Xenopus tropicalis: one gene and its partners. The protein of the gene in region 7 purifies or fractionates together with the protein of the main gene of each other region. This does not show direct contact. Links are inferred from orthologs where the notes say so. Each region holds a gene or a part of one and is shown on either strand. Other genes may lie near its edges.

The links.
Region 1: the proteins of bcl7c (region 7) and smarcb1 purify together in Homo sapiens (affinity purification with mass spectrometry; 7 studies listed by BioGRID and IntAct, counting the BioPlex papers as one, with this or other methods). This does not show direct contact. The link is inferred for Xenopus tropicalis from reciprocal best matches to the Homo sapiens genes BCL7C and SMARCB1.
Region 2: the proteins of bcl7c (region 7) and arid1b purify together in Homo sapiens (affinity purification with mass spectrometry; 4 studies listed by BioGRID and IntAct, counting the BioPlex papers as one, with this or other methods). This does not show direct contact. The link is inferred for Xenopus tropicalis from reciprocal best matches to the Homo sapiens genes BCL7C and ARID1B.
Region 3: the proteins of bcl7c (region 7) and smarcd2 purify together in Homo sapiens (affinity purification with mass spectrometry; 3 studies listed by BioGRID and IntAct, counting the BioPlex papers as one, with this or other methods). This does not show direct contact. The link is inferred for Xenopus tropicalis from reciprocal best matches to the Homo sapiens genes BCL7C and SMARCD2.
Region 4: the proteins of bcl7c (region 7) and smarca4 purify together in Homo sapiens (affinity purification with mass spectrometry; 6 studies listed by BioGRID and IntAct, counting the BioPlex papers as one, with this or other methods). This does not show direct contact. The link is inferred for Xenopus tropicalis from reciprocal best matches to the Homo sapiens genes BCL7C and SMARCA4.
Region 5: the proteins of bcl7c (region 7) and smarca2 purify together in Homo sapiens (affinity purification with mass spectrometry; 4 studies listed by BioGRID and IntAct, counting the BioPlex papers as one, with this or other methods). This does not show direct contact. The link is inferred for Xenopus tropicalis from reciprocal best matches to the Homo sapiens genes BCL7C and SMARCA2.
Region 6: the proteins of bcl7c (region 7) and smarcd1 purify together in Homo sapiens (affinity purification with mass spectrometry; 5 studies listed by BioGRID and IntAct, counting the BioPlex papers as one, with this or other methods). This does not show direct contact. The link is inferred for Xenopus tropicalis from reciprocal best matches to the Homo sapiens genes BCL7C and SMARCD1.

What each region holds. Positions count from the first base shown.
Region 1 is NC_030677.2:153,151,373-153,154,077, forward strand, and holds part of smarcb1 (SWI/SNF-related matrix-associated actin-dependent regulator of chromatin subfamily B member 1), read right to left. Parts: intron 1,626-2,705; coding exon 1,494-1,625; intron 1-1,493.
Region 2 is NC_030681.2:52,290,117-52,293,616, reverse strand, and holds part of arid1b (AT-rich interactive domain-containing protein 1B), read right to left. Parts: intron 3,433-3,500; coding exon 3,228-3,432; intron 1-3,227. UniProt on the Homo sapiens protein: Involved in transcriptional activation and repression of select genes by chromatin remodeling (alteration of DNA-nucleosome topology).
Region 3 is NC_030686.2:15,739,913-15,744,183, forward strand, and holds the start of smarcd2 (SWI/SNF-related matrix-associated actin-dependent regulator of chromatin subfamily D member 2), read right to left. Parts: upstream 2,801-4,271; 5' UTR 2,769-2,800; intron 1,930-2,768; 5' UTR 1,883-1,929; coding exon 1,781-1,882; intron 1-1,780. UniProt on the Homo sapiens protein: Involved in transcriptional activation and repression of select genes by chromatin remodeling (alteration of DNA-nucleosome topology).
Region 4 is NC_030679.2:138,931,042-138,934,459, forward strand, and holds the end of smarca4 (transcription activator BRG1), read left to right. Parts: intron 1-342; coding exon 343-561; intron 562-646; coding exon 647-900; intron 901-987; coding exon 988-1,096; intron 1,097-1,185; coding exon 1,186-1,287; intron 1,288-1,514; coding exon 1,515-1,647; intron 1,648-1,743; coding exon 1,744-1,889; intron 1,890-2,286; coding exon 2,287-2,319; 3' UTR 2,320-2,918; downstream 2,919-3,418. UniProt on the Homo sapiens protein: ATPase involved in transcriptional activation and repression of select genes by chromatin remodeling (alteration of DNA-nucleosome topology).
Region 5 is NC_030677.2:128,296,838-128,300,889, forward strand, and holds the start of smarca2 (probable global transcription activator SNF2L2), read right to left. Parts: upstream 2,801-4,052; 5' UTR 2,540-2,800; intron 1-2,539. UniProt on the Homo sapiens protein: ATPase involved in transcriptional activation and repression of select genes by chromatin remodeling (alteration of DNA-nucleosome topology).
Region 6 is NC_030678.2:148,811,972-148,814,557, forward strand, and holds part of smarcd1 (SWI/SNF-related matrix-associated actin-dependent regulator of chromatin subfamily D member 1), read left to right. Parts: intron 1-675; coding exon 676-773; intron 774-850; coding exon 851-986; intron 987-1,949; coding exon 1,950-2,072; intron 2,073-2,158; coding exon 2,159-2,260; intron 2,261-2,586. UniProt on the Homo sapiens protein: Involved in transcriptional activation and repression of select genes by chromatin remodeling (alteration of DNA-nucleosome topology).
Region 7 is NC_030685.2:5,705,624-5,709,052, reverse strand, and holds the end of bcl7c (B-cell CLL/lymphoma 7 protein family member C), read left to right. Parts: intron 1-379; coding exon 380-473; intron 474-759; coding exon 760-921; intron 922-1,007; coding exon 1,008-1,093; intron 1,094-1,239; coding exon 1,240-1,347; 3' UTR 1,348-2,929; downstream 2,930-3,429. UniProt on the Homo sapiens protein: May play an anti-apoptotic role.

The DNA of each region.
Region 1 (2,705 bases), on a different chromosome or scaffold from region 7:
AAGCCATTGTTTAAAAACAGACTAACTTCACTATGACATTTAAAGAAACCTTGTCTGAATAAACATGACAATAATGAAAGACAATACTGGGATACTGTTGAAAATCTAGTCCATGTAAATTGCGTTATTAATATCTATTTTGCTAATGTCAGCAAAGAAAATACTAACTGGTGACAACACCTCATTAAAATCTGTATCTAAAAATAGGCTAATTATTCACAAGACAACAAAGGTCAGGAACAGACATGACAAACATTATTAATTGTTAGCGTCAAGCCCACTAAACACATAACTTCACCCTTTAAAAGAGACTGTGTACCAAAAAGTGCAGAATTCAGCCTACCCAGAGTATGTCCCGCATTACTCTGAATGGTGTTACAGGACTTGGGCAGTCCAAAAGTTATTTAAAAGCAAAGGCCATAAACAAATTACAAAATAAAGTGCGGATGACATTTAATACATAGAACTGTGTAGAACTATTCTTTGGGATTGGCTCTCTTATCAATTAATAAAGCCAACAAAATACATAGACAGAAGTTTTCATTGCCAGTTCTGGTGGGTTCAAATAACTTTTTAAATAATCACCCCAACGTGGAATATTCTTCCAACCTGTACAGTGTTCCTTACCCTCCAAGGAAACAATAATACTGCAGCTACACTGTCATATGCAGTGGAGAAGAAATGTCACAAACTTACAATAATACTGCAAATATGTATTTCATAAAGCCACCAACTCTGCATAAAATAGGGAAATATTTGGCCTGAAACATGCATCAGCATAACTATTCTCTACAGGTAAAGGTATACTTATTAAGCTTACCATATAAAGCAAAATTCTATCTAGTTTAACAAGACAACAACAATTGTTTTGGCACCAGATTTTAGATATTGCTGGACAATATAAAGAACACTAAAGCTACCTATGGAATTCAAGCTGCTAATTAACATACATGGTTCTGCTGTGGCCACTTGTTTTAAATAGGGATATACCCTACGGCTGTTGGGATCTTAAATGAAGTGTTTTGCATGTTCCACTGGCAGAAAAGAATACTGGAGAATGTCAAGTTTATCTCAATGTGAGACAAGGGAGCAGAAATTTGGAGAGCTATATAAGTACATTGGGCACTAAGGCCAATTAGGGCTAAAAGAATAAAAAGAGAGAATTTCCTAAAAAGACAAAAACTGGCAAAATTGGCAACAGATGGTGCTACTAAGCTAAAGGCGAGCACTGGGAGAAATGTCCAATCCCACCAGCTAAAGTCAGATTAAATACCAACACATCACTTGCAAAGTGCGATAACGATTAAAAGTGCAGCTCCATCGGCTGAAGCAACGACAGCACAGACACAGATAAAGACACATCACGTCATAGGCTGGTGCGCATAAGCTGGAAAGTTTTCCTCGCAGATGCTCCGAGGAAGTTCCACCTTGTTGTCTATATTCTACCCCGGCGGGAAGCCCGGAAGGAAAAGCGTATGAAACGGCGGTGGCACCTGGTGTTCCGGTCCTGGTCCCGGATCTTCTTCTCCATTTCGGCATCAGTGAGGGTCTCCAGGAGGGGGCACCACTGGTCAGCATCGCCTGTATTTCGAATAGCAATCTCTACTGTCGGCAGTGGGTTTTCACTGAAACAAGAAAATAATGTGAGAAGGACATGACTATTAATGGGAGTTTTAAAAGCATAGAAACCATATAGAAAGGCACAAAGTTTCATAGCCACATTGGGAAATCCTATAAGTACTAAACATTTGCCCTAGAATTATACAGTTGGCAAGCAAAACAAATTTCATTTTAAAGTCAGTTAAAAGCAGACCCTTTTTTTCATGACTATCTCATAACCAGCACTAAGCAGAAGACACAGCTGGAGTGGCTGATGAGGAGGAAAAACATTTGTTTGTGTGTGAAGTACAGGATATCAGAACATTAATTGTGACTCTGATAAAAGAGCCACGTCAGATAAAGGTTTACATACTCAGAAAATGTTAAACTGATCCAAATGAATAACAAGAGAAGCCTTCTAGCTATGCAACTTAGCGCTAGGGAACAAAGGAAACAGATACAGAAAGACAACATGCAATTTTTTTTTTTATTTGCAATAATGAAATTAAATGGACACAAGTTTTTATGCGTCTTGAAAAAAATAGGTAATGTTTGGTAAAAAGGGGGAATATGCTATAGGAATTTAAATTAAAGAAAAAATCACTAATCTTTACTCACTTATTGTACACTTGCATAGACCAGTGTCATTAAATGGTCTCCATCCCTTTTCTTGAAATAGCAGCAGTCCTGTCTTAAAGGAACAGTAACACCAAAAAATGTATATATTTTAAAGAAATTAAACTATAATGTACTGCTGCCCTGCACTGGTAAAAATTGTGTGTTTGCTTCAGAAACATTACTAGAGTTGATATAAACCCTGGTGTGTAGCCATGGGGGCAGCCATTCAAAAGAAGAAAAGGCACAGCTAACAAATAAACCCTGTAGAATACAATGGTGTCTTATCTGTTATCTGCTATGTAACCTGTGCCTTTTCTTCTTTTTTCAGCTTGAATTGCTGCCCCCGTGGCTACACAGCAGCCTATTTATATAAATTAAAGTAGTGTTCCTGAAGCAAACACACGAGTTTTACCAGTGCAGGGCAACAGTATGTTATATTTCAATTACTTTAAAATACTTTCATTTTTTGGTGTTACTGTTCCTTTAAA
Region 2 (3,500 bases), on a different chromosome or scaffold from region 7:
GGAGGGGTGAGCGACCTTGGGGTGGACCACGGAGAAATCTGGGCCTGGGTGTGCATAAAGAGTTTTTGAGTGAACACCCGCCAAAAAGGTTTTTTTAAAAAAGAGCACATGGTTTTAAAAAATTTATACGAATGAAGAATTTTTTTTGCACTCGCCCAAAAAATCCTTATTGCCACCCGGGGACTCGGGACACGGTTTTCCTTGCCGTTAAGCTACTGCAGTTGCAGCTATGGTTCCTAGACTATAAACAGTACTGAAAAAGGTTGGTCTTACTGAGAGATGGCAATGCTAGGGTTTTTTTAATACAGCAATGTCATATTCCGTATCTTTACCAAGTTTATACATCATTCACAACAGTACCTGCCCCAGTGGAGCTTACAGTCTAAAGTCCCAATCACATTCACACACACACTAGGGATAGTCGTATCATGACAACTGCCAGGATGTTATTTTGTAATGCTACACCAGTCTAGAAAAAATGATTTTTAATTAGTCACATGAGACTAAAAAAAAACCCCAAATTGTTGTAGAAAAATGGGGCATAATATCCATTTGCATGAGCCAGTGATTTGCCAGGGACTGAGAAAAGACAAGGCAGTCTCCCAGACAGTAGGTTAATATCTGGCAAGAGATGATATGCATACCTACTGGCTGCAGTCTGAGGCGCACACTATAAAGTAAACAAAGGAGAGGTTATTAGAGGTTAAGTGCAGTGCATTTCTCAGAGTGAGCAGCCAGCACCACGCTGGGAAGATAATTTACACAGCATGAACCTACTGGCCTAATTCTGGCTGAGGTAGAGGGATAGGGTGGGGTGGGAGGAAATTGCAAGCGCCCAAACACGTCACTAGTTTTGCTCTGAGCAGAGGTCAGAATGAGGACATCTTTGTTTACTAAAGCAGGGAAGCCCATGAACAACCCCCTCCCTCCTCTGTGGGGATTCCCTGTTGGCTTCTGGACAGATTCTGTGACATCACCTGTCAGCTAATAATAGCAAAATCAGCCCGTTTCATGCCTGCAAAGATTAATGGTTTTTGTAAGCTTGCTGATTAGGGCCAGGCTCTCAGCTGTGCTTGGATTGGTCTCTTTTATTCCCTTTTCTGAAAGCCTACTCAGTGGAATTCGCTTTGATGACTGGGCTTATATCTCTGAAGCGAGGCTATTATTTATGTAGGAAAATGCTATGGCAACTTTGCAAATGTAAAAATGGAAAGATTTACTGGGTTTTTGACATGGACCCATTTGTATGGAATACAGATAAGCGGTGAGGATCTGTAAATTAGTAAATGTAGAAACTGTGCATCTACGTCACACCCTGCCTTCTGAGTGTCCATAGTGGGGTTTCCAAATGCAGTGGTGTCTAATAGCATTAAAGGATCGCTGTCATGGGAAAACATCAGTTAATAGAGCTTCTCCAACAGAATCCTGCATTGAAATTCGTTTTTCAAAAACACAAAGATTTTTTTATTTTTAATTTCACATAAGTCTAGCCATATTCTTCATTTCCCAGAGTGCCACAACGATGTGCTCTGATAAATTTCAGTCACACTTTACTGCTGAGCTGCAAGTTGGAGTGATATCACCCCCTCCCCCCAGCAGCCAATCAGCAGAACAATAGGAAGGTAGCAAGATAGCAGCTCCCTGGCACCTGTATTGCTAAAAGTGGTAGATATCAGAACAGCACTCAATAGTAAGAAATCCAAGTCCGGCTTGCAGCTCCCCCAGTTACATGGGAATAGAAGAAACAAAAGGTTATCTGAAAGCAGTTCTAATGTGTAGAGCTGGCTCCTTCTGAAAGCTCAGACTCAGCCTACACACCAATATTACAACTAAAAAAAATAATATATAATATATGAATAGTACCATAAAAATCATGACAGAATCCGTTTAAATGCTCTCCCAAATTCATTTCAGCTTGCAAAATCGCGATTTCGTCTTCATTTATACACTGCTGAAATTGAACTGGGTTAGGCATGGGCACATGGATTAACAGTAGGTGGGTGGGTCTGAAAGGTGTGGGGCAGCGAATTGGGGCTAGGGTGCTGTGCTTTGTTGTTTAATTGGTCAGGCCTAACCTGCAGATATCTTGGCAGTGGGAGATGAATAAGTAGACCTTTTTAAACATACAGTATCACACTTTTGAGTGCTCTATTGAGTTGCATATTACATTATAGGTAAAGTAGCATTGTACGTAGAAGCTGTGTTGGTGCACAACTAATACTCTCTCAGAAGTAAGTGGTTGCAAATGTGAAATAGATAATCTTGAAGCTACACCCTGCTTACTTTAGTGTCCTAGATTGGTACTTTAGGCTTTTTAAGTGTTTTATCTTTTGATCATCCCCTCAGCGATGTGCCTTTTAGGATTGTGAATAAATATAACTTTTTTTTTTTTTTTATAAGTGCACTAAAATCTTAAACTTATAAATACTCACCAAACCAGGATGAGCATCATTCGATGTGTGGGTTGCCAGACATAGCTCTGAAGATGACACACTATAGATGAAACCATATTCAGGCAAACTATTTGTAGGCTGTAGAACATAGGAGCTATCGCTCACGCTTTTTTAGAAATTTTTTTTTTTTTTTTCATTTTTTAATTTAACATTTTCTGTCAGCTCAATATTATGTTGTGTGTGCACAGGTCAGAATTTGTGTGTAAACAAGTGCACAGGTCAGACTTTGTGTGTAAACAAGAGCACAGCTTAGAGGGATAGTGGTGGAATGAAAATAAAGGTATGGTCATGGCCCAAGACAAAATGGAACAGCAAAAGCACTTCCACGCCATGATCCAATCGATCATCAGTCTGTTGTCCATATCCATGTTAATAACTTCACACTGAAGTGAACCATAATCATTTAGATGCATTTAGCATATCAATTTCATCAAGAAACTGTGCTGATTTATGCAGTAAATTCCTTGCTTACAGTGGATCCCTGAACAGACCTTTAATTGGCATCTGATTGTACCAATTAATTCCTAAAATCCTCCATAAAACACATGAATTGAGAAGAAGTGGGACAATGAACAGCTTTTACGCTCAAGATAACTGAACCAGACTACATTTTTGTTGTTTTCTTGCTAAAAAAATGTTTTGTTTTTCAAAAAATGCCCAGCCATATATTCCTGTCATGGGGTGGGTAGAGGTTTCATGGGAATTATAACTGGACATGATTTCAGCTGCTGCTGTGGCACTTGAGGTAGAACTGGATGCATTCCTTTTGCTTACCAGGAGATGGCGGCTGAATCTTAGGCTGCTTCTTTGACTCTCCAGGATTGAAAATCTCTGGAGGTGGCTCCTCCCCTCTCTCAATCTTGCATTCAAAGGCAAACAGATACTGTATGTACTGCTTTTTCAAGGAGCTGGCTGCACTGCTAGAGGTGCCAACATTCAGATTGCTTGACAGCTCTCGCCACTTCTTGTTTTTATTAACCTACAATAAAAAGAACATTATTGCGGTTAAGCACATGGTTCTGTAATCAGCAGAGGGGGTAAGGAAGA
Region 3 (4,271 bases), on a different chromosome or scaffold from region 7:
GTCCTCATTACCTCATATTAATAGGTCACTATGGATCTTTATCTTAAAATTAGATTAAAAGGGCTGAAATTAAATGAGACTGAGAAAACCTGACAATCATAAAGGCCATTCAATTTAAAATTAAAAGTAGAGGTCAGTAGAATGCCCCACATCTGCCAGTGGTGACCTGTACTACAATGCACCGCATCTACCAATTGTGAACTGTTCTAGAGTGCACCACATTTGGAAGTGCTGACATGTTCTAGAATGCCTCACATCTGCCAGTGCTGACCTGTTCTAGAATGCACCACATTTGGAAGTGCGGACATGTTCTAGAATGCCCCACATCTGCCAGTGCTGACCTGTTCTAGAATGCACCACATTTGGAAGTGCGGACATGTTCTAGAATGCCCCACACTACCAATGGTGAACTATACTAGAATGCACCACACTACCAATGGTGAACTATACTAGAATGCACCACACTACCAATGGTGAACTATACTAGAATGCACCACACTACCAATGGTGAACTATACTAGAATGCACCACATCTACCAATGGTGAACTGTACAAGAATGCACCACATCTACCAATGGTATCAGGTGCCAGTGATGAACTATACTTGCATGTACCTCACTGACAGAGAGTGAACTTAACTGTGTTGTACCACACTGACTGGTGTTGAACTAGACCTGAACATACCACATTCCTAGGCAGTGAACTCTACCAGAATAGACCATCCTAAAGTGATCTATACCAGCATGCACAACACTGAAAGGCAGTGAATGATACCAGTTCAACCATACTCCAAACAACCAGTGATGAACTATACCAAACTGTACCACACTGATCAACAGCAAACTCGGACCATGCCATTTGCTGGTGAACTATACCAATATGTATGAAAATGAAAAATTAAAAAGGAGTGAACGATACCAGAACACACCACAGTGACATGCAGTGAAAAGACAATTATAAAGTGAAGTAGATTTAAATCAACTGATCAGTTGTTTACCATGATATGCACCATTGTATAAAATGTAGGATTACTATTATTATATTATTCTTGGAATGGTTACACAAGCCATCCTAGATTATCTAGGCCCTGCTTAGCAACCATCAAGGCCTTATCTATACTCTCCTCCTGCCTACCTGGGACCATAATGATGTGCACTGATTGTCACATGAAGATGTTATGTCTCATTTTTCACAATTACACAAAGAATTTAGAAAGATACTGGATGAAAGTGAAACATCCACAGTCTTTATTTACACCAACGACTTTACCTTTGGATTGTACAACTGCGATGCAATTCAATAGGTCACCTGAGCTGTAACTGAACATGACTGCTTCAGATCACAATTGCATCCGAAAAATGCTCTAGAAATATTAGATCAAGGGCCTGGTGTGCTACACAAGTCACAAATCAGTCAGCTCAACATTTAGTCGCATTTAGTCTGATTTGGAAACCAGAAGTAGCAGCTTGCCAGTAGCACAGTCAATGTGCAATTCTATAGATGCAAGCGTTCTGTGCACTAGTGCCTGACTTTGGATGCAGCTATGGCATATAAAACACAATCATGCTTCAGGCGTAAATCATTTTCATGCCATTGGATTCTGCTAGTCACATGCTACAAACGGGCATGTGATAGTCAGGCACTATTAACAGACCCAGCAACTTGGACCTACTGACTCTGCCCAATTAAAACTGGATAAACAATGTTCTAAATTCTAAATGAAGTGATCTAGCACAGGGAAGATGGAAATGCACAATACATTGCTATTGGAAATGGTTACCTGGTAAGGCCCCATTGGGGGTCTGTATGCTCCAGGGTTTGGTCCCCGCATCATGTTCATTGGGCTCCCAGATGGTAGAGGTAATCCTCCCCGAGAGGTCATGGAGTGTTAAACAGCAGACAGCACTACTGTGCACAGGTGAAGGAATGCTGTGTATATACAAGAGGGATATACTCTGTGTGAACAACCTCCTTCCTAATGAATCATATAATGTAGAATTCCTAATTATGCAGCCCTGCACTGCGTGCGTTGGCTAGTTGCGCAGCCCTGCACTGCGTGCGTTGGCTAGTTGCGCAGCCCCGCACTGTGTGCGTTGGCTAGTTGCGCAGCCCCGCACTGCGTGCGTTGGCTAGTTGCGCAGCCCCGCACTGCGTGCGTTGGCTAGTTGCGCAGCCCCGCACTGCGTGCATTGGCTAGTTGCGCAGCCCCGCACTGCGTGCGTTGGCTAGTTGCGCAGCCCCGCAAAGTGTGCGTTGGCTAGTTGCACAGCCTTGAACTGCATGTGTTGGCTAGTTGTGCAGTCTTGGCTGTGTGTGTTGGCTACTTGTGCAGCCCCGCAAAGTGTGTGTTGGCTAGTTTGTTTGCACTTTGACTTTTAAACAATTTTAACGATATATCTTCAATAAATTTTTGATAAAACATTGAAGGGTGTGCTGGCCACAGATGATTATTTTCTGTATATACATAATTTTGGCTATGCACCCCGCAGAATATTGAGCCTTGGAGTGCGGACACCATTTGGATTGATATATATATATATATATATATATATATACACACACGCACATTTTATACATAAATTGTGTGTATATATTTATCCTCTACGTGTTGCCCTATTCAGTTATACAAGCTTATAGAGTTCGTGTTAGTATCAGTACTATGCCTATCAGACTGTAGCCCTGTGTGCCCGTAGCAGTAACACGCGTGTAAGCCCGGCGCTAAGTACAGCACAAAGCCGCTATCCTACAGCTAGTCCAGCACTACTAACCGGATTCCCCAGTGAAACCCAGCGGGGTTCAGCCTCTCTCCGTATAATTGTGCCCGTACAGCTGCTCTCAATGCGCAATCCCTGCGCTGCGATCCTCCGGCTGTAGTTTCCCGGGGCGCAAACCGAGCGCTCAGCACTTTCCCCTTCCTGCTGCTGTCGGGCGGCTCATAGGAAGTTATTGGAAGGTTTTTCTGTTGGTGTCATCACTTCCAGAGAGCTGTTTTGCAACAAACCTCCTTTTCTCATCTCTGCCCTCCCACTGCCTTCCCTCCCCTCCCCTCCTCCTGTGTCTCTCCTCCCTCTGTTTCTCTTCCCCTCCTCCCCTTGTCATCTGCCCTTTCTCTTTCGTCTTTGCCAGCCCTCCTCTACCTGTACCCACCCCCTCTTACCCGTGCTCACTCTCCTTGCCTGCCCTCTCTTACTTGTACCCACCCTCTCTTACCTGCACTCCCTCTCTCTGCCTGCCCTCTCTCACCTGTATCCACCCTCTCTTACCTGCACTAACTGTCTCTGCCTGCCCTCTCTCACCTGTATCCACCCTCTCTTACCTGCACTAACTGTCTCTGCCTGCCCTCTCTCACCTGTATCCACCCTCTCTTACCCGCACTCCCTCTCTCTGCCTGCCCTCTCTTACCTGTACCCACCCTCTCTTACCCGCACTCCCTCTCTCTGCCTGCCCTCTCTCACCTGCACTAACTGTCTCTGCCTGCCCTCTCTTACTTGTACCCACCCTCTCTCACCTGTACCCACCCTCTCTTACCCGCACTCCCTCTCTCTGCCTGCCCTCTCTCACCTGTATCCACCCTCTCTTACTGTCTCTGCCTGCCCTCTCTCACCTGTACCCACCCTCTCTTAGCCACACTCATTCTCTCTGCCTGCCCTCTCTTACTGTCTCTGCCTGCCCTCTCTCACCTTTACCCACCCTCTCTTAGCCACACTCTCTCTGCCTGTCCTCTCTCACCTGTACCCACCCTCTCTTACCTGCACTAACTCTACCTGCCCTCTCTTACCTGCACTCACTCTCTCTACCTGCCCTCTCTTACCTGCACTCACTCTCTCTACCTGCCCTCTCTTACCTGCACTCACTCTCTCTGCCTGCCCTCCCTTACCTGTACTCACCCTCGCTGCCTTCCTGTCCTACCTGTGCCACCTTCTCTGTCAGCACTACTCTACTTGTGCCCACTCTGCCTTTTCCTACCAGTTCCACTCCCTTTGCCCTTCCCCTCTGTACCTGTGCCACCCCTGCCCTTTTCTATATGTGCACACCCTGCTACCCCAACCCTAGCTCTGCCTTGCCTTGCCTACCTGTGCCCATCCTCTCTCTGCCTCCTTCTACCTGTGCCTGCCCACTCTGCCATCTCCTTGCTGTACTCTCTACCTTCCAATGCCAACATTCTCTGCCTGCCTTTCTTTCCTTTTCCCACCCACTTTGCATACACTTTCTTACAACCACCCTCCTTATCTGCCTACCTGTACCCATACTGCCCTTTCCTACCTATGCCC
Region 4 (3,418 bases), on a different chromosome or scaffold from region 7:
TTTGGGGTTATGTAATGAAAGGCATTATGTTGGTAAGCCATAGCAACCAATCGGCAGGTTGAATTTACTGGTCACCTGTTTAAAAGCATTTTATTGGTTACTGCTCCTGGGCAAACTTAGTGCCTTATATTACACATGGGGGCTTATGCTGATTTTCTTTAGGGCAATTGGAAGAATCTGTATTTGTTTCAAATATTATTCTGTGGGATTCCCAAGCAGCAGAGGGACATAAGTTTGCATATGGAACTTCAGACTATTATCTAAGTAATGGAAATAGTTCTATATGTTGCTTTTGGCATGTTTCCTTTAATACAAACTGCTGGTGGTTTTTCCCCCTCCCAGCGTATGGATCTGGACAGGCGAAGAGAGGAAGCCCGTAATCCCAAACGCAAACCTCGCCTCATGGAGGAAGATGAGCTGCCGTCCTGGATCATTAAGGACGACGCCGAGGTTGAGCGCCTTACTTGCGAAGAAGAAGAAGAAAAGATGTTTGGCCGCGGCTCCCGTAACCGCAAGGAGGTGGATTATAGTGACTCGCTCACGGAAAAGCAGTGGCTGAAGGTACTAGATAAGATGCACTCTATGGAAAGAGAAGCATGTGTGACCCTGTGTATTGGTTCTCACGTGCCTTTTTGACTCCCCGCAGGCCATAGAAGAGGGCACTCTAGAAGAGATTGAGGAAGAAGTGCGCCAGAAGAAAACCACTCGCAAGAGGAAGAGAGATATAGACCCTTGCATAGTCATGCCCACCACAAGCACACGGGGCAGGGAGAGGGATGACGAGGGTAAGAAACAGAAGAAGAGGGGGCGGCCCCCTGCCGAGAAACTTTCCCCAAACCCCCCAAAACTCACAAAGAAAATGAAGAAGATTGTGGATGCCGTCATTAAGTACAAAGACAGGTGAGGAGACCCCTGACTGCTGCATAAACTGCTGCATAGTCCGTTGCCCATAGTTCCCTAGCTCATATGTGTATTTCTGTCTTTCAGTGGAAACGGGCGCCAGCTAAGTGAAGTTTTTATCCAACTGCCATCCCGTAAGGAACTCCCTGAGTACTACGAGCTGATCCGTAAGCCAGTGGACTTCAGGAAGATCAAGGTGAGTGCCGGTGCTTTCTGATGTCATGTTCACCTTCCCAGTACCATGTGATCAGCAATCTGACCCAAAGCTCCCTTGTGTTTCTGCAGGAGAGGATCCGAAACCATAAGTACCGCAGCCTAAATGATCTGGAGAAAGACGTCATGCTGCTGTGTCAGAATGCTCAGACCTTCAACCTGGAGGGCTCCTTGGTAAGCAGTACTGACCTTTTTACATCCTTTCATTGGTCGCTGAAGGGTGTGTAAATGTAGAACCTACGCTGCCGCCACTCTGGAACCTTTTTTTTTTTGCAGCAGCAGCAGCAGCATAAATTCTGTATTGCTTGGCAGTTATGGGGTTAAACAGAAGTAATGTTTGTCCCAGCAAGTGGTTGATGGCAATGCTAGATAAATGATGGGTGTCCATTTTCTTTTTACAGATCTATGAAGACTCGATTGTGCTCCAGTCCGTGTTCACCAGTGTGAGACAGAAGATCGAGAAGGAAGAGGAGAGCGAGGGAGAGGAGAGTGAGGAAGAGGAGGACGTGGAAGAAGAAGGCTCAGAGTCTGAGTGTGAGTACGCCGACACCGCCATGTTGTCCGCGTTGTCATTTTGACTTTATAGGGGAAGTAATTCTATAACTCCTGTTCCAATGTTCTCTCCAACAGCTCGCTCCGTGAAGGTGAAGATTAAACTGGGTCGCAAGGAGAAGGGGCAGGAGAGGATGAAGGGACGCAGGCGGACCGGCCGAGGGTGCAGAGCCAAGCCGGTGATCAGCGATGATGATAGCGAGGAAGAACAAGAAGAGGCCAATGTAAGTTCCAGTCTCCCTGCTTCTCTTTCCTTAGTCAGCAGATCTGCTGGTTACATCTGTCTAGTGGTAGTCTCATAAGGCAGAAGGGGTTTTTAGGGAGGAGAGAGCTGGTGTCCCTATTTATTTTTTTATATTCAGTAGTTTCTGAGATACTAGCATTTTTAGGCTGCAATACTGGGCTTTCTGCTTATCTTTCTTTTAAATCTGATATTGGCAGCCTAAAACTGCTAATCCCTCAAACCACTAAAACTGAATGTAAATTACAGAAGAGGACCAATTGAAATAAGTTTACATATTTTATATATGGGCTTAGTTCCCCTTTAATGGGCAAAGCGCAGGAAACCTATAGCCTGTATGACACTGGGTTTTAAATATTCAACATGCTTTTGTCTTGTAGGAGCGCTCAGGGAGCGGAAGCGAAGACGACTGAAGTAGAATCTCGTAACATTCCTTCAAGCCCCCTCACGTCTCATTCCACAGCGTGCCACTGGAACGCCGACTCCAACCCCTGAAGTACCACGCACCCCCCCCTAAACCCCACCCCTCCCTCCTCGGAACCCCTTCCTTTCGGTAGGTCGCTAACGGGTAGCCAGAAATGTAGTGAGCTGTACAAAGTAAATTCTTCCATATTTATATAAACGATGAGATGTAGGGACGCGCCCGTCTGTAGCAAGGCAAACGCATTAAGTATCGGGCCCGACTGCTCGGCCTCTCAGGATAGGTTAAAAGGATCGACTTCTGATTCTATATGAATATATATTATTTTTTTTTTTACGGCAGTACTGTTTGCGTTACAGTATGGAATCACTGTAGTGTCGGCCCCGTGGATGCATGCTGTTAGCAATCCACCCTTTTAGTACTGTATTTTACAAAAAACAGGTCAAAATCAAGCCCAGCGTCCCGTCCCCCTCCCCCTCCCTCATGTTGCTGCACAGGGAGGGGCGGGGCTGGCGGCGGTAGCTGTATGTATGTGTGTCAGTGTCACTGGATTTCAAACCGTTATAAATTAAACCCAAGATGGAATACCTCGCTCTGTTTCTTATTTTTTTTTTTTTTTTTTGTATGGATTTTTTTTTACTGTTTTTTTGGGGGAGATGAACCCGAATAAAAATGCTGAGTCTTCATAAATAGACAAGAAAAAAAAACGCGGGTCTGTCATGATTGTGGCCGGTTTTGTTTCCTCTTCCTTTAATGCATGCTGATCCCCAGAGTTATGCTATTGGCATTATTTGGGCATAGTCCTAGTATGTAGGGCAGACTCCCTCAGGGTTTGGGGTGAGTAATGGGAAGCGGGTAAGGTTCCCCCTGTTCGTCTGCTAGACCTTCTTGCTTTTTGCCTTTCTTTTGCATCTGGGGATGGGTGTGAGTTGCTATGGAACAACTATGCCAAACAGTTACTGAGTGAGTGTCCCATGTAAAGGGGCCGGAATAAATATATACAGACGGCTAATTGCACATACTAAAAGAAAGCAAGAAATAAAACCACTTCCCAAATGTCCCTTAGGCTCACGGTGTACTGCAACCCCTCC
Region 5 (4,052 bases), on a different chromosome or scaffold from region 7:
TACTCAGACATTTTTGGAGACTCCCATTGTCTGCAGTAACAGCCCAATATCTGCTCCCTGTAATTTTCACCTGAATCAACGTTAATCCCGCCACTGAAAAACACTGACCCAAACCTGACCTAAAACTGACTAAAACTAACTAAATATCCTCAGAAACTAGCAGCATAAGGTAGATCTGGAAGAATGGCAATGGTGTAATAGACATGGCATTGTCATGGCCTGGCCTAGATTCACCAAGAACAAAAAGCCACCAGACTAGCATCTCTGTAACATGGGCTTGTGGGGTTTATGCAGTGCATCAGAAGAATTGTGGATCAGCTAGGCAATGTAAACTGAAGAAAAGGGAGTGTACCATTTGTAAATGAGGCACTGTAGCTGTAGTATCTACAAGTAGAACCTTTACCGGCAACTTGAAGTAATTAGTTCTTGTAGAATGTTAACAATATTTCAGGGAGAAATGTTGTCCTACTCTTCCATATAGATCCATATTGATGTTTGAGGGTAGTTGGTTATGCATAGCTCTTTTATGGGTCCATCATAACATCTCCATGAGTTTGAGGTCTGGACTTTGCCATTCCAAAACACTAAGGGGTATATATATCATGCTGTGTAAAAAGTGGAGTGAAGTATTTCCGGTGATTGTTGCCCAGGGCAACCAATCAGCAATTAGATTTCAACAGTTAGAAAATCAAAGCAAAGCATCTGATTGGCTGCTATGAGCAACATCAGCGGCAATGTTTTACTCCACTTTTTACACAGCATGATAAATATATCCCATAGCCATTTAGGTGTAAATTTGTAGGTGTACTGTCAGATAGCACCACATTTTGCTCTATAATTCTCTGGTATGAAGAGAAATTCATAGTGGACTCATTGCCTGTGAAATGTGCAGGTTTTGTGTCTTGGCAGTTTGTATGAGGTTCTTGTGTTATGTTGTTTTTCATCTTGGAAAGACAGGATTTTGTGCATTAGGACAAACTATTAATTGTCCGGAGGATGATTTTTCCAGAAATCTTGTGATCCTTTCAGATACAACATAGTCAACCTAACTGTGTTGCCATTGCATTTTAGAGTAAATGGGCTTTCTCTTGGCTATGTGTTCATGAAATATTTTATCAGTCTTTTTCTAATATTTGGGTCATGAAACTTAAATGGGTTGTTCACCTTTGTACAACATACACAAGTCTAAAGGTGGCCATACACATTAAGATCTACTTGCTTGGCGAGGCCGCCAAGTGAGCGGATCTTTTCCCGATATCCCCACCTACAGGTGGGCAATATTGGGCAAATTTATGGGGGCCAAGCGATCGAATTATAACGATGGCAAAGGGCGCATTGGGTTCCGATGTGGTTCCCGATCCGACTAAATTTTCTAACCTGCCCAAACGATATCTGCCCAATTTCAGGCCAGATATCGGTCGGGCATGGCCGTCGTTGCTGCCCCTACACAGGCCAATAAGCTGCCGACGGCAGCTACAATCGGCCAATGTATGGGCACCTTAACAGTTCACATTAAGAGAACAATCTTTTCCATATACATGGTTAAAGGGGTGGTTCACCTTTAAGTTAACTCTTAGAATTTTACAGAATGCCCTATTCCTAGCAGCTCTGCAATTTGTTTATTTTTTATAGTTTTTGAATTATTTGCCTTTCTCATCTGCCTTATTCCAGCTTTTAAATGGGGGTCACTGATCCCAGCAGCCAAAAACGATTGCTCTGTGAGGCTACAATTTTATTATTATTGTTACTTTTTATTACTTATCTTTCTATGCAGGTCCTCTACTATTCATGTCCCCATCTCTTGTTTAAACCACTGCCTGGTTGCTAGGGTAAATAAGACCCTAGCAACCAGATAGCTGCTATAATACCAAATGGAGAGATGCTGAACAAAAAGCTAAATAACTGAAAAACCAATGATTGTCCAGATTGTCTCAGAATATCAATGTCTACAACATATTAAAAGTTAATTTAAAGGTGAACTACCCCTTTAACTGAAATAAAATGTATAAATATACAGTATAAGAGCATTCTTTCAGAAGCACACAGAGCTAATCCTAGGTAAAGGTGCAGATGCTATTAATTCTGCTGCCTCAGGTCTACACTGATAAAACAATGAGAATAATGTGGAGAATGAAACTGCTAAGTTGCTTGTCACCTCACTGAAACTTCATTGCCAAAAAGAAGAGAAAGGGGATGAGCAGCTGTAAAGCTCAGAGAACTAGAGCAGCCTGCAGCACTGCCTTCCCGGCTTTGATGCCCAAAGCAGATTTCCTTATGTTCTTACACTCCATGCCCCCTCCCTCTGTGCAGGGCACCATGCCAGGCTTTAAATGACTGCGTGTCCCTATTGTGACCCACAAGTAAAGGTCTGAAAACACCTTACTTAATGTGAAAGGGTTAAAGGACTGCTGAAAAACAAATAAACTGTCTGAAATGTGGAAGCTGCCAGAGACTACAAGGCAAACACAATACCCACCTGGGGAGGATGGGGTTAAGGCTGAGCAGATTAATAACAAAAGGTAAAGCAAGCCTTTCTTACCTTCACCCCTTACCGAAGAGCCAGAGCTTGAACCGCTGCTTTTAGTCCTTCTACTTCGCTTTATGTCCCTGTCCCTGCAGTCTGTCACCCTGACGGGATGAGGAGCGGATAATGCTGCTGCTGAGGTAACTGGTCAGTGCCACCTTTTGACCAACCCGTGCCCGCCTGTCAGTGCTGCAGACACGCCGTCACTCACAGGGGCTGCAACTCTCACTGGCAGCCGGGCCATGAGATCATTATCCGGATCATGGCCTCTTCCCCTCCTGCTCAATCCTTCTGCCAACTCCTCCTCCTCCCAATTCCTCCTTGGTTTTATTTTTAATCCTGCTGTCTGTAGTTTTCCTCTGCTTTGCCACTTCCTCCGTGAAGAGGGTGCCAAAACCACACCTCCTACATAGTTCAGCTGTGAACAACTGCACAGGCTATAGAGAAAGAGAGAGAACTCCTTCCAATAATCCCCCACAGCGCTCACTCTGCTGCCTTTGAGGGGGATGCTTGCAGGTGACTGGTGTAGGTGCCGGTATAAAGGTGCCACAAAATGACAAAATGAGGGAGCAGCACATTTGTTTTCACTCAGAATCTGACCATACATATCCACATTCTCACAACTCCTCTCTAAAGAGCATCTTTTTTATTTTAAACACAGTGGGGACAGGGCAGGTGCCATGGGTGCAGTGAATTGTGGGTGAAGGTGTCAGGCAGTTCCCCCTTTCATTATTGGCCAGTAGAGGATTACTAGAAGGTTTCAGGCTGTTCAGCCCATATCAGCCAGTAATATGAAATTATGAAATGAAGAAAGTTTATATATATATATCTATATATATATATATATATAAGTCAAGCTGTGTCCGCACTCTAAACCAGTTTAACTGGTGAGTGCTGAAGTCAAAATATGTAAATACCTATAAACAGGACCAGCACTTCATTTCACAGCAATTCTTCTATTTATTCATTCACCGTGTGTGTGTGTGTGTGTGTGTGTGTGTGAATGAATAAATAGAAGAATTGCAGTGAAATGGTGTGCTTGTCCTATATATATATATATATATATATATATATATATATGTAAAACCTAGCGTATATTGGTGCACACCGGGAATCATTTAAAACATAACTTTTATTAAATAGTTAATACATTAAAGATCAGTCTAACATTTCGGTCTGCATCTAAGACTTCCTCTTGATAAAAGTCTTAGATGCAGACCGAAACGTTAGCCTGATCTGTAATGTATTAACTATTTAATAAAAGTTATGTTTTAAATGATTCCCGGTGTGCACCAATATACACTATATTTTCTTTTTTTCAATGCTCAGTTGGTTGCACCCGGGTCCATTGACTACGCTCAGGAGTGCTGAATCCATGCGTGTTATATATCTATATATATATAAATATAATTATGGTATTTTTACAGACAAACCCTCCCTCTCATTAAAAAAGCAACAAATCTGGCGTGTGTTTTAGTAAGACGTTTTACATATTGAGGGACAGACAGGAGATGATCAGGGAGTGGCT
Region 6 (2,586 bases), on a different chromosome or scaffold from region 7:
AAAAGCGGATTATTTGATGCAAGTAATTTCTGGTGCAAAATAGACTACAGGCTCTATCTGCTTCAGGTTATTATGTTTGTCTGTATGGGAGCTACCCAAATGCTTAGAGACTCTACAGTGTACAGTAGTATTTTAATGAGCAAACCATAAGCTAAAGTATAGATGGAGAACATAATAAGCTCTCTGGGAATAAAATTGGGATGCTGATAGCCAGTACAGGTTATCAGGTAATAAAGCATGTTTCATATTAATAAGAGTTATCAGTCCTGGTTGGCTTTATGCTGGTCATATTTTTTGGAATATCTTACTAGATGACCCACAGGGTAGGCTGTTGTATACATTATGGTTCACACCTGTATAGCTACATCTTTCTAATCAAATTGTTCTGATTCCCTAAGTGGACACCCATGCAGTTCCAGGGAGGCTGTTTAACTCATATACTTGTTTGGCATTATTGAATTCCCTGTCTCTTTGTATCCTATGTCTCTAAAAAAAAATACAGTAACAAAGTTCATATGGCAAATATTGTATATATCACAGTATGTGTTGACCCTGTTTGTACTATTGTATTATAAAAATCTATAGTGCTGCATGTGCAGTAGCAGAATATAAACAATTTTCCATACACCTTTTCATCAGCAACAAAATGTTTTTTTTTTTCCTTCCATCCTCCAGATATTTGAGTCTCAAAGGATGAAGTTTTCAGAGATCCCACAGAGATTGCATGCCCTCCTCATGCCTCCAGAACCAATTATAATCAATCATGTCATTAGGTAAGATGTAGTTCTGTTAGATACTAGTCTGTGATCCTAGTTACAAAATCACCCTGACTTTGTTCTGTTTTAATTAGCGTTGACCCTAATGATCAGAAGAAAACTGCTTGTTATGACATTGATGTAGAAGTTGATGATACCCTAAAAACTCAGATGAACTCCTTCCTGTTGTCCACTGCCAGTCAGCAGGAGATAGCTGCTCTAGATAACAAGGTGAGAGATAAATGCTTTGAGCTGGAATATACACAACATGGCTTCCCTTATGCATTGAGTAGAGTGGGTAGTGGGTGCTGAATAAAGCAAAGGCTGGGGATGCATTTTCAACACAAACTTGTTTGCTTGGTTAGGGTATTTGGCTGCTGTTGGGTAGGTGGAGGGCCAGGGATGAAATTGCTATCAGACATCTGAGCTGTTCAGGTGAGGGGAGACTTGCAGGAGTGGCCCTGGGCCATGTTGAGTCTTAAGTGGGTCATATTTGGTGCAGGCCTGCCCAAACCTACGAGGCCTCAAGGGACCAAACTATCAAAGAGATATTGGTGGGGCATGCAGGTGTTCTAATTGGTGATCTCGACAAATAAGCAGATCTTTTAGTCTATGCCCAGCTTAAGGCCTCCCACAACTTTTTTTTTTTTTAATAAAGTGCAGCCTGAAAGTAGGCCAGAGCTGGTAGCTTAAAGGGGTTGTTCACCTTTAAGGGTAACTTTTAATACAGAATGGCCAATTCTAAGTAACTTTTCACTTGGTCTTTATTTTTTTCTTCTGACACATTCTAGTTTTCAAATGGGGGTCACTCCAACAGCCAAAAACCTGATGCACCATGAGGCTACAATTTTATTGTTATAGTTCCTTTTTATTACTTATGTTTCTTTCTATCCAGGCCCTCTCCTGTTTATATACCTGTCTCTCATATAAACCGCCCCCTGGTTGCTAAGATCATTTGAACCCCAACAGCCAAATAACTACTTTCCAAATCGGAGAGTTGCTGAACAAAAAGTTAAATTAAAAAAAAGCACTAATTGCAAATTCTCAGAATATTACTCTCTACGTCATAGAATGTTAACCCCAGCTGGTGCAGTTTTCTCCTAACAGGAGCACAGTAATAATTGTTCACTCTGTATCCTGTACAGTTATAGATATTGTCTGTAAAATCTTTTTTTTTTTTTCTCTTTTTAACAGATTCACGAAACAATTGAAACTATTAATCAGTTGAAAATTCAGAGGGAATTTATGTTGAGCTTTGCCCGTGACCCTCAAGGATTTATTAATGACTGGTTACAGTCACAGTGCCGGGACCTCAAAGTGAGTACTTATAGGATTAAATATTTGTCATGTGAATGAAATTTCTGACCATGTTGTAACCGTTCTGTTGCCTCTTTTCCCATTAGACAATGACTGATGTGGTAGGTAATCCTGAAGAAGAACGCCGAGCTGAGTTTTACTTCCAGCCATGGGCTCAGGAGGCTGTGTGCCGGTATTTCTACTCCAAGGTACGAACAAGCTCTTTTCCAGGGTTTCATGCTGCCATTTCTCCCCCTTTTTTTTTTTTTTTAACATAATTTACAATAATGGTTAAGATCTCACTTAATGCAAATTAAAATTACAGTCATTTTGAAGGGGCTTTTATGTCTTTCAGTCACCATTTAATGAGACAAAGATTTCCCTTGGCAGCAGTGCAGTCAATATATATGAGCCTTTTAGGAAAAGAATAATTCATCCTCTTACAGAATAATTCATCCTTTTATGGATCCTCCTGTATAAAAAGTGCTTGATCCTGCAAGGCTGCAGCTTTTGCTGCAACGAGATATATACATAT
Region 7 (3,429 bases):
CTCCAGAACATCTCAGTCCCTACTATACTCCCCCAGAACATCTCAGTCCCTACTATACTGCCCCAGAACATCTCAATTCCTTCTATACACCTCCAGAACATCTCAGTCCCTACTATACTCCCCCAGAACATCTCAGTCCCTACTATACACCCCCAGAACATCTCAATTCCTTCTATACACCTCCAGAACATCTCAGTCCCTACTATACTCCCCCAGAACATCTCAGTCCTTGGTATAAACCTCCCTGCAGAACATCTAATTACTTGCAATAAACTTAGAGACCACCTTATTCCTTGCTGAAAACCTGCAGAGCACATTTCTCCTTACTATAAACCCCCTGCTAATATCTCTGTCCCACCCAAATGATCCCCTTCTGCAGGAGAAGCCTGGGGCCCAGACTCCCACAGACCAACAGAAGCGCAGAGCACAGAGGCGCAGGAAGAGCCAGGCTCTGCTAATGATGGAGATCAATGGTGAGAGAAGTGCTGGGATTGGGCAGCTCAGAATGGGAATGGTCACATGTTACTGGGTAAATGCCACCTGGGCAGGTGCTTTATTGGCCTTTTTCTTCTACCACCATTTACATTTCTGTAAATTATTATTTAGGATACACGTGTGCCAGTAAGTCAGGGAATCATGTGACATCACTAAGTGCCAGTTAGAAGTGATGACATCACTAAGGATTATTTATGAGGAAGTAATTTACAGGGTATTTATTGGTTAATATAAAAGCATAACGGGTGCCTCTGTGCCAATTAGATGACAGCAATAACAGTTCCTTCTCGGATGCCTCTGGGGCGAGGGGCGAGGGAAGCGACAGCCCAAGTCGGACCCCCGAACTGAGCCGCAATGTCAGTCCCTGCCCCTCATCCAAGCCAAAGACTGAGGACTTCCAGCCCCCTGAGTTGGGCCAAGAAGGGGGTAAGAACCATAGAGATGACTTCTGGGTGGGGCTGAGGGGCAGAATAGGGACAGGGTGGGACTGATTGGTTTATTTGTATGTACAGATGGTGCCCCCCTGCTCCCCATCAGAACAGATGAACCCCCAATGTTAACCAAAGAGGAGCCGGTGGCTGAAACCCCTGCAGCCCAGGTGAGTGACATGTTGGGACCTTGGGTGGCACTGAGGGGCTTCCAACTGAATCTACAGCTGATTGGAGGGTTGCCTGGCAGTCGTTATGTGGCACTTAGTGTCCTACTAGGGATTCAATAGAATCTTAAATTCTCCCTTCCCCCCAGGTACCCAGCGCTGCCGCCATGTTCCCGCCTCTGACAGAGGAGGAGGAGTCTCTGGACGCCCCGGCACTAAAGAGATTCTGTACAGACCGAGACATAATGGGCAGATAATCCTCACAGGCTGGCGGCCATCTTACTACTCCTCTCGCATCTTTTCCCGCCTTCTATTCTCTCCACAAAACCAGCTTTTCCCTGTGGAAAGATGAACAAGTGCGTCTGACTGTAACCCGGAAAGTGACCCCGGGACCCCGAGCCCCCATAACAGTGAATTCCATCGCCTGTAGAGAATCAGTCCTGTTGGCCATTTTGTTTCGCTTCATGCCCCAAGCTCCAATGGCTGCCGCTCTCTCTGGGGGTTGCGACTGCTGCACAATTGTATCACTGCAGCCTCTGGTATCCACCATTATATACTCCTCTTGTGGGGAGTGTCATGTTGCCAGGACACGCCCCTCTCTTACACCCTAGCAACCAGGCTGCAGTTTCAAATCCAAAGCGGAGAAATGCAGAAAAATGTATAAAATATACAATTTTCCAATTTATATTTGTCTTTCTGTACGAAGTATAAATGTCAGTATTATATATTATAATATCCATGTCATGCTGATGGAATCTGCAGCGCTATATAAATATATACTTACACCAATACATTTAATTCTACTGACAGACTGCGCTCCTGGGCCCTGGCACTTGTGGCCCCTGATTGGCCGGATTTTGCCCTTATACACAGTGGCGTTTTATAAGGAGAATCTCCCAACCGTTGTCATACATTCTTTTGCACTTCCAAATCCAACCACCAGATGTCGCACCTTAGTGTATGGATAGGAATGAGTAAAAAGCAAAGGAAGCATCGCCATCTAATGGACGAAAGTGGAAATACATCTATTGGGCGATTTCTCATTATTAGCGTTGTTGCTGCATGTTTATTCACTTGTAAATGTAAAGTCCCTTTATCTCTCCAATATATAAAATACCCAGAAACCCTCCCGGGACTCTACTCTATTTTGTCTAGACAGCTGCCCCAGGATTGAGCATGTGTCTCAACCCCTTCTCCTTGTAGAGTGTAAGCTCTTTTGGGCAGGGCTCCCTTCCCCTCTTGTATCGGTTACTGATTGCTTTATATGTTACTCCTTGTAGAGTGTAAGCTCTTTTGGGCAGGGCTCTCTTCCCCTCCTGTATCGGTTATTGATTGCTTTATATGTTACTCCTTGTAGAGTGTAAGCTCTTTTGGGCAGGGCTCCCTTCCCCTCCTGTATCGGTTACTGATTGCTTTATATGTTACTCCTTGTAGAGTGTAAGCTCTTTTGGACAGGGCTCCCTTCCCCTCTTGTATCGGTTACTGATTGCTTTATATGTTACTCTGTATGCCCAATGTATGGAACCCACTTATTGTACAGCGCTGCGGGGTATGTTGGCGCTTTATAAATAAATGTTAATAATAATAATGTTGCAGACTACACCAATTCCCAAGCAGCCATGGCTCATGTATCTAAACTAATTACTAATGAGCTCTGAGCAGCGAATTGGCTTTGCATCTGTGTAGATAATAAGTAATAAAGTGGTCGGGTAACACTGTCCAATCAGGGGTTGCACCATAAAACCGGGCAAATGTTAAATACATTTATTCCCATTCATTCCTAATAATGCAGGGCAGCCCTGGGCACTGCAGGGTTAAACTGGGAACAAATTAAACACATTGGGTTCATTTTCTGTCTTTTTATTTGTTACAAAATAATCGATTTCCAGTGAAAAGTCGAATCTTTATCACGTACAAAACAGTATAAAACAATGGGTGCAACAGGGAGCCGGTCCCACCCACAAGGAACAGGGATGAGCCAAAGGGCATCGTTGTATGGAATTGCCCACAGATCTGGGGAAACTGGGCTGAAGAGCTGACAATCAGATTGCATGTGAGTGGGGATGAGAAACTATCATTGTCGATTACCGATCCCCCCCCCGCAGGCCCAGTGTGGGGGTCTGTGCAATTCAATCTGTAGGGAAAGAAAACAAATGATCAGGGAATGTTCCATCTCATCCCTCCTCTTATCTAGATTCGGTATTTGGCACAACCCCGAAACCTTCATGAAAGTTTCAGCCGAATCCGAATCTGCATCCGATAATAGTGGATTCAGTGCATCCCTAGTTACGACCCCATCATAGACTTCACACTGCTTATTGTCAGTCTAAATATTAGGG